Linked DNA regions of Macaca mulatta. The protein of the gene in region 1 binds, or shares a complex with, the protein of each later gene. Links are inferred from orthologs where the notes say so. Each region holds a gene or a part of one and is shown on either strand. Other genes may lie near its edges.

Evidence for each region.
Region 2: the proteins of FGFR2 (region 1) and FGF8 are in contact, whole or in part, in a crystal structure (PDB 2FDB), measured with the Homo sapiens proteins. The link is inferred for Macaca mulatta from reciprocal best matches to the Homo sapiens genes FGFR2 and FGF8. Residues at the interface, in NP_000132.3 of Homo sapiens: Glu160, Lys161, Glu163, Lys164, Leu166, His167, Ala168, Val169, Pro170, Asn173, Asp247, Val249, Arg251, Ser252, Ser282, Asp283, Ala284, Gln285, Pro286, His287, Ile288, Gln289, Ile291, His293, Leu309, Val311, Leu312, Lys313, Ala314, Ala315; in NP_149354.1 of Homo sapiens: His53, Val54, Gln57, Asp62, Leu64, Ser65, Arg66, Leu68, Ile69, Arg70, Tyr72, Tyr75, Arg77, Gly80, His82, Val106, Glu107, Thr108, Thr110, Phe111, Gly112, Ser113, Val115, Thr148, Glu149, Ile150, Val151, Leu152, Glu153, Asn154.

The regions. Positions count from the first base shown.
Region 1 is NC_133414.1:133,602,299-133,606,507, forward strand, and holds part of FGFR2 (fibroblast growth factor receptor 2), read right to left. Parts: intron 3,223-4,209; coding exon 3,026-3,222; intron 1-3,025. UniProt on the Homo sapiens protein: Tyrosine-protein kinase that acts as a cell-surface receptor for fibroblast growth factors and plays an essential role in the regulation of cell proliferation, differentiation, migration and apoptosis, and in the regulation of embryonic development.
Region 2 is NC_133414.1:113,856,814-113,861,509, forward strand, and holds the start of FGF8 (fibroblast growth factor 8), read right to left. Parts: upstream 3,022-4,696; 5' UTR 2,808-3,021; coding exon 2,776-2,807; intron 2,684-2,775; coding exon 2,647-2,683; intron 2,124-2,646; coding exon 2,037-2,123; intron 1,820-2,036; coding exon 1,639-1,819; intron 1-1,638. UniProt on the Homo sapiens protein: Plays an important role in the regulation of embryonic development, cell proliferation, cell differentiation and cell migration. Required for normal brain, eye, ear and limb development during embryogenesis.

The DNA of each region.
Region 1 (4,209 bases):
CCCCAAATAAATTAATCTCACGCAGATGTATTTTTCCAGGGAACCGGCATTTGCCCCATTTTCTCTGCTTCTGTTATACTCCTTGGCCCTACTATTACATTTTCTTTTCTTTTGTTTCCACTTTGGGTTTTTGTTTGTTTGTTTGTTTTGGTTTTTGGAGTTGGGGTCTCGCTGTGTTGCTCAGACTGGTCTTGAACTCCTGGATTCAAAGGATCCTCCCACCTCAGCCTCCTGTGGAGCTAGGATTACAGGCATTTACCACCAAATAACCTGGGAACCACCGGTGAATGTGACAGGCTGTGTCTTACATGTAACCTGGTTTATACCCAGCACTTAGTAAATTATGATGAATCAATAAAAGGAAGGAGGGAAGAAAAAGAGGAAGGTACTCTGATGTTCCCTCTGGTAACACAGGGAGGATACGAAAAAGGACCAACTTAGGCTGAATCCTCTCTCTCTCTTTTTTTTTTTTTTTTAAGACAGAGTTTCACTCTTGTTGCCCAGGCTGGAGTGCAATGGCGTAATCTTGGCTCACTGCAACCTCCACCTCCTGGGTTCAAGCGATTCTCCCGCCTCAGCCTCCCAAGTAGCTGGGACTACAGGCATGCACAACCACACCCAGCTAATTTGTGAATTTTTAATAGAGACGAGGTTTCACCATGCTAGTCAGGCTGGATGATCTCGAACTCATGACCTTGGGTGATCCACCCGCCTCAGCCTCCCAAAGTGCTGGGATTACAAGCATGAGCCATCACGCCCGGCCAGGCTGAATTCTCTTAAAGAAAAAATATAAATGGCATTGCATGTGAGTATACATATAATTACTTAATTTAGAACATTCTTATGTCAACTTCCAATGTCTGCCCTCTTCTTAGTCCTCAAGGATCCATCTACAAGTAGTGCATTTCCAAATATTATTTTCCTCAAACCGTATTCTTAGATGGACAGTGATGAAAAGCCACCTGACACTGGGGAAAGAAAACACAATGACTGTGGCTGAGTCAGGGGGATTTTAAGGGCATCTTACCCTTTTATATTAAGTAAAAAGAAAAGCATTGTAACAGTTGCAGAAAAAAAGATGATGAGATAATTACGGGGCAGTGGCCTAGCTATGCCAAATTACAAGCTGCCTCCAGAAGTTAGCATTTTTCCCTATTAGAAAAAAAATAATAGAAACCATGTAAGAGTTATCTCAGGACTGGACTCCCCTAGAAACTGGCTGGCCAGCTGGCCCCATCTTTGCTCTCCTGGCCCCAAGAAAGATAATCATGTCACTCAAAATGACAACAGCGTTCTTGGTGGCAGAAGTGACCCAATAGGCCCCTTTTTTCCATGCTCTTAACACAATTTGGTCATTCGCCTACACTTGACACACACTTTAAATTCTATCCTCCGCCTCCACAAAGACAGACCTGCTTGCAACATGGCTTCAGAGAAGTTAACAAGGACCCATTCAGCCGGGAGTCTGGAGCTGGGTTGTGAACAGCCAGACCCATGCCAAAACCACTGCTGACCAACTGGTTCCTAATCCTTCCTAATGCCTTGTCCAGAAAATGTCATTCCTACCTAAAGTCCCTGGAGAGCCATGCCTGGGATTAACCTGGAGTTTCTCAAAGTGCATTCTAAAATCACCAGAGGGCTTGTAATAAAATGCAGATTCCTGGCCCTATCCAAGATGACTAAACAAGAATCTCTGGGGCTGAGACAAAGGAATCTGAAATTTTAACAAGTACCCCGTAAATTTTACTAAAATACACACTGAAATACAGCCAATGAGTTTGCTGTTTTACTTGCTATTTCAAAATAACCTTTATCACAACCAAGTTTCAAATGCTTTTGTAAACATTCTACATCTACATCTGCCTTCCGCTTCCATCTCTGTGAACAAACAGAAAACAGCTGAAGCATTTCCTGTCCCACCTACCTATGCAGGGCTTTGGTTTATAGCAGAGGCTCCATCTTGCCCCATCTCCCCCAGAGCAAAACTAAACCAATCAGGAGGCACACAAGCAAAAAGCAACCACCAAAGACCAAGTTGGGGGTTAAAAACAATCTGTTGCTGGTTCCTTACAAATATTCTACCAATAAATCACCGCCACACCTGTGAACTACTAACAATGAGACATAATAGATGCATACAATTATATTGTAAGTTGCAAAGAGGTTAAGCCAAAATTCAGTGTAGAAAGTTATTGTGCACCAGTTTAAATCAAACAGTCCAGACGCACCCCCAGGGCATAAGATTCTGATCTTGACTTTAAAAAATAAGTCAGAGAACTTAGAGTCTCTTTCCTACTAGTGGCATAAGTCCCAAGCGAATGTTCATGCTTATCTTAAAAAAGGTATTAGATCACAGGAGACCAATGTGGCTAAGGCTTCGGAGAGACCGCTGTACTTGAGTCTGATCAAACACACACAGGGGTATTTGCCTCCAGTTATTTCCAGTCCTGCTAATTAGTTTTCTGATTTTTTTTTTTTTTTTTTTTTTTGAGACGGAGTCTCGCTCTGTCGCCCAGGCTGGAGTGCAGTGGCCGGATCTCAGCTCACTGCAAGCTCCGCCTCCCGGGTTTACGCCATTCTCCTGCCTCAGCCTTCGAGTAGCTGGGTCTACAGGCGCCCGCCACCTCGCCCGGCTAGTTTTTTTTGTATTTTTTAGTAGAGACGGGTTTTCACCGTGTTAGCCAGGATGGTCTCGATCTCCTGACCTCGTGGTCCGCCCGTCTTGGCCTCCCAAAGTGCTGGGATTACAGGCTTGAGCCACCGCGCCCGGCTAGTTTTCTGATTCTGACACTATTGTCCTTTCTTGCCCTTGGAACTGGACCCCATTGATCCAAGCAACGCACTATGACTAGACTCTCCAAGCTCCAAACACTAACTGGGTGACCGCCAAGCATCACACCAGAATCACTCGCACATGGAAGCTCACAGAAGTCGATGGCATCAAAACAGAGCAAAAGATCCACAAGCTGGCTGGGTCATGGGGGAGGAGTAAATTTCTTTAAACTCTTTATCTACTTTCTGTTACCTGTCTCCGCAGGGGGATGCGCTTGGTCAGCTTGTGCACAGCCGGCTGGCTGCTAAAGTCTGGCTTCTTGGTCGTGTTCTTCATTCGGCACAGGATGACTGTTACCACCATACAGGCGATTAAGAAGACCCCTATGCAGTAAATGGCTATCTCCAGGTAGTCTGGGGAAGCTGTAATCTCCTTTTCTCTTCCAGGAGCTAAATTGCAGATCACAGGAGGAGGAACAGATAAGCAGGCCACAGAGTTAGCACACGAGACTGATGCATCATAGCACAACCAAAGGAACCAAAAGGTGATGACCATTCTCAAGGCAAGGTGGGTTTCCCAAAAACTCAATCCTGCAGAATGGCATGGGCCATAGGTCTGCCAAGTGCCCCTCCCAAATGAAAATGAATAACCAGGGGGTTCATCATTTGACCACCAGGACCCGGGTAGTCACTGTCTCTAGCCTCAGTGGGCATCCGCAGTCCAGTGAGTGGCTGACACCCAGTTGCACAGGGCAGGCTATGAGGCCACATTCTGTTAGACATTTGAGTGGAGGATGACCAACTGTACCCGCAGTGAGAGGATTATCTTTCATGATGGTCTGTGAATGCAAACCAAATACAAAGTTCTGAAATATCAATGACGCCCACTTTTGTTTCTAAGGAGACAGTGACAACGCTTCAGTCTTACATGGGTAGGCTCTTCCAAAGGAAGACTCCACAGGATAATTTAACCCAGATGAACACAATTCCATATGAAACTGATGTTCATCTAGTAGGCTGGCCCGAAAAAGTTTTGGTGAATTCCTTAATACCATCTAGTCCATAAACAAACCAATGCATTAAATACACAGACTGAATTGCTTATAATATAGTACCATTAGATCCATAACACATAAAGCTTATAATATTCCTTAATAACCTTTTAAGTTTATACATATCTGGTTATACCGTTATGTCACTACAGTTTTTCTCTTAAAGAAAAAACATAAAGGTATTATGTGTGAGTATACATATAATTACTTAATTTAGCACATTTCTATATCAACTTCCAATGTCTGCCTTCTTCCTAGTCCTCGATGATCCATCTACAAGCAGTGTATTTCCAAACAGTGTTTCTCTCAAACTGCATTCTTAGTTAAGTGCTAGCACTGTCAGGCAAACGGGTTAAGAAGTGCCAGTTAGGCACCACAGAATGCA
Region 2 (4,696 bases), about 20 Mb from region 1:
CAGTCCTGGCTGAATACCCTGAGCCTCTGTTCTTAGGCCCCCAGCTCCTATCCTGCTGTGGGGCAGGGACTAGGGAAGGTGGGAAACCTCTTAGATGGCCAAGGAGAGAAGTGGGCATCAGACTTCCTCTGATGTCTGAAGATGAATTCCCCCACATCAGCTTGGCTTCTGCTTTCTCCCCAAAATCCAAGGATGCTGGGCCATTTGCTCTGATAGAGCAAACTCTGGAAGAGCCAGGCCTTCGTCTCCTCTCCTTAGAAGCTGAGAAGGGCAGCAAGCAGCCAATTTGGAGGGACAAAGGGACGGTAGGCCTGCTCTGCCAGCCCAGCAGGGGGGCTCGGCCACCAGGCAGGCTGCCCCCACCCCCACCCCAGAGAGCCCCCTCTCTCCCAGGTCGGTTGAATCTGCTCGGATCTGGAGAGCTGGGGCTGCAGTTTACGGCAGCTCCACCGACCGGGCTTTTGGAAAGCTTAACATTTTCAAACCTATTCTTCCACCCCAGTGACAGATTTATCCCAGGAAAATTATGTCTCCTCCTCCAGCTTTGAAGGGAAGTCAGCTACGTCGATGCAGAAAAAATGCAGCGAGACATACTCGATCCCCCAAACTGGCTCAAGAAGAGGAGAAAGTATTCAGGAAATGTTAAAAAAGGTGAAAGTAAGAAGAGTTTTAATCGCTCTGCCAGACGCGGGGGTCTCTCCAGAGATTCAGAGAGAACAATCTTGAACCTCTTTTTTAACATTTACAGACTTGCAACTCCTTTCAAACTCCACATCTGAAAAAAAGCTCGTTCTTTTTCTGTTTTATATCATTCTTCATTTTTCTTCTTAGCTCTTAAAATGCCTCACCTTTTTATTACATTTTAATAGAGTCTTCCCCTCTCCTTTCATGCTTGTTTAACGTGGTCATTATTTAAAGGTTTTTAAACTCACAATAATCGCTCTCTAAAAACAACACCAGCCGCCCAGAGGGTTTGCTTTTCTCTTGGTACAGGACTCTGGAAATTGGCCCCGTTTCAAGGCAGGAATATTGAATGTTTTAGAAATCAATCAGTCCTCAGCTTCTCTGCCGGCAGTAGCTCTCCGTACTGGCCACCCCACAGGGAGCCGGGAGCCCTGCCCCAGCCGCCTGGGTTCCCTGGGGAGTGAAGCAGGGAGAGCCCCTTCCAAGCCCAGTTTCCACCTGTAATTGACCCTTCTGATCAAAGTATTTAAAGGTTCCCAGCAAACCCCTTTTCCAACTGGGAGAGTTGAGGGGATTTCTCTCCCTTCTCTTTCCCACTCTCCTTTTGTGGGCCCTGGCGACATATCCTCTTTCAAGCGCTTCCCTTAAACCTAGGCCCCCTCCCCCTGAACCCCCTGCCTCCACCTGCAGCTGGGGAGGGGTGTATGAGGTGGGGGCGTGTAAAGGGAGATTCCTAGATTCTTTCATTTGCTGGGCAGGGAAGGGGGCACCTGTGGCCAAGTATTCCCCGAGGTCCCTTCCCTAGCCCTCTCTTCCCCAGCTGACCCTCAAGACACCTTTCTGCCTTAACTCCTTCCCTTCTGAGCTGGGGACCCTGCAGGCCCCCTGTCAGTGCAGTTGGGACTGGCGGTGCAGGCGCCGCTCATCCCACAAGCTACCTTCAGCGCGCCTTACCGAAGGGGTCGCCGTCCTCTGCCATGGCGTTGATGCGCTTGTTGGCCAGGACCTGCACGTGCTTCCCGCTGGTGCGGCTGTAGAGCTGGTAGGTCCGGATGAGGCGGCGGCTGAGCTGATCCGTCACCAGGCTCTGCTCCCTCACATGCTGTGTAAAATTAGGTGAGGACTGAACAGTTACCTTTAGGAAATTGAAAAATACACAATACGCCATTATAATGCTACTCCGCCCAGGGGCCCGAGTGGCCCCATCACCCTGCGTCCCCCTCACTGCCCGAAGCCACCAGCAGGTGCTGGGGTTTCCCCCAACATGCCAGCCCAGGCCACCATCCCCCACCCAGGCAAATCGGGCAGACCCAGCCCAGGATAAACAAGCCCCAGGGAAAAGCTGGACCCACCTGTTGGGAGACACCCTGGGGCTCCCGGCCAGCCCGGAACAGGGAAGCGAGCTCCCTGCCCAGCGCAGGGCCCCCGCCCGGGCCTTCCTAGAGGAGCAGGGCGCTTTTAAGTAGGGAGACAGCGCTCCCCGACCCCTGACATTTATAAAGACAAATTTACGGAGCAAATGTTGAGAGTGCAGGGGACCTGGGCACCCGATCGTTGGGCCAAACCGGCCACAAGCCTCCCCCGAGGGGCGTGGAGAGGATCTCTGCTGTAGTCACCCGGCTTCCCCTGGCATCGAACATCCATCTCCTGGCCCCGGCTGCCCCCTTCCTCGGCGGCTGAGTGTTCCCTGTGCCCCCAGCCGGCGAGGATACATGGGGGACAGTGCTGGGCTCCGAGACTTTCGCTTCTATCCTGGCAACTCACTCGCTGTGTGACCTCTGGCGGGGTGCTACCTCTCTGTGCCTCAGCTTCCTCCTCAGGCTGGCTCGGGGCTGGGTTTCTAAAGTGCCCTCAGCCCTCCGGCGCCGGCCGCAGAGTCAGTCCCAGTGCCCCCGACCGGCGCTGCCCACCCGGGTCTCCAGCCGGCCCGCCCGGCCCCCTTCTCCGCGCATCCCTCCTCACCTGGGCTTGGAGGCAGAGGACCAGCAAGTGCAACAGCCTGTGGGAGACAAAAGCGGGCGGGAGAGAGAGGCGCGGGTGAGGCGAGGGGCGCGGCGGGCGGGCGGCGGGGCAGGGCGGCGCGGTACTCACAGGCAGCTCAGCGCGGAGCGGGGGCTGCCCATGGCGCGCGGCCCCGGGGCACCAAAAGCCCGGCGGGTCACGCCGTCCCGTGGGCGGCCGCGGGGGGACGCACGGAGCAGGGCGCGGGCGGAGAGGGTGCGGGTGCGGGAGGCCGGCGGCGACCACGACGCGGCTCCGCGGGTCCCGTGGAATGTCGTGCTCGCCAAGCCGCACCGAGTCGCTGTGCGCCGCTGCCGGAGCCGGTGGCCGCTGGCTGCTCCGGTGCCGGAGCGGGCGGGAGGGTCACGGGCTGGCGGGGTGGGTGGGGAGGTGGGAGGGGTGGGGGCGGGGGGCGCCGCACCGGGCGCGAGGGGGGAGCGCGGGGCGGGCGGCGGGAGCCCGCAGCCCCCGGCTGGGAACTGGGGCCTGGATGCAGCCCGGGGCGGGGGCGGGGCGGCCGGGGCGGGGCGGCCGACGGGTCCGGGATTGGGGGTCTAGGCTAGGGGAGGGGTCTGGGGACCCGCGGTAGGGGCGGGGGCGGCCGGTCTGGGCGCCTCCCCCTATCCGCAGCCTGTGCCCTCGCGCGCTCTCCGGGCCCGGGCGCGCGGGGATGGGGGCGCCTGGGGCTGCGGGCTCTGCGGGCCAGGAGACCCCGGGCCAGGGATTCCCTGACCGCCCGGCGCGCCCCAGTCCGGTGGGGCTGGGTCTCCACCTCGGGGCCCAGCAGCTCCTGCCGCCGGCTACATAGCAGTCTCCGAGCCACCTACTGTGTGTCCCGCCAGGACTGCCCCCTGGGAGCGGCCGCTAACCGTGCGGCGAATGGCTGCGCACCCGGCCCTAGCGCAGTGCGTGCCGGTGCCACCCGGACCCCACTCCCCTGTTTCTGCCGCGTGCCCCGTCCTTTTGGTCTCTCCAGTCTCGTTCAGTCTCCCAAGGAGGCACTGGGAACCAGAAATGCCTCCCCCTCCCCCGCATTATCACCGTCACCCCTTCCCCTGTGCCCCTCGCCACACACACACACTAGCCTGAAGCTTGAGGAGCACCCCGAACCACCTGTGTGGAAGAGAGAGTCCGGAGGTCCCTGGCAGGACCCACTGTCCCCCTACCCCAGCAGGCAGCAGGGGCAAAAATAACTGTTCTCAGTAGCTTTTCCTGGGGGAAGGGACTTCCATCCAGGCCACCCAGCCCTTTCCCCCTCAAAGCCCCATTTGTTTTTCATTTCACAGATATTTACACACCTACTGCATTCTAGGCAGGGGCTGGTCAGCTGGGCCTGGGGCATGGGAGAAGGTAGGCACTTGTCTAAGCCTTTCCTAGCCCCTCACCTTGTGGCTTCCCCACTGAGATTTTGGGAAACCCTGAGCCCCCACGCTGCTTCTGTGGGAGCAGCCTGGGTGGGCAGAGATGACCTGGGACAGGTGCCCTGTGAGGAGCAGGTGATGCCCTACCAGGCTGCTGCCTTCGCCCACAACTTCCCTTCCCCACTGACCCTGCATTCCCCTGGGGGTAGGGCTGGAGGGTTTCGTGTGGTCCCAGGAAGCCATTAGGCCAAAATTAGCAGCAGCCCTAGTCCAGCCTCACAGCCAGGCCCTGCCTCCCTCCCTCCTCTGTGTCCCACCTTTCCCTGTGCCCCATCTTTCCAACTACCAGCCATAAATGCAAACACTGAGCAATGGAGAGACGGGAAAACAGAGGGTGTGTTCCAAGATTTTATCTCTCCTCAGAGAAGTAGACTTCCAGAGCACACCTGCCATCTTCCTCCAGGAGTCTGTTCACTGGGCTCTTGCCCACACAGACCTTGTGGCAAGGACCATGTCTTAAGAGCTCAGAGATCACAGTTCAAGGCACAAAGCTGGGCAGAGCTGTTCTGCAGTTAAAAGTTCATTGAATGAAAGAATGAATGATGGGGAAAGTGGCTGAGTCTTCAGACTTCAGCCTATTTGCAACTTCC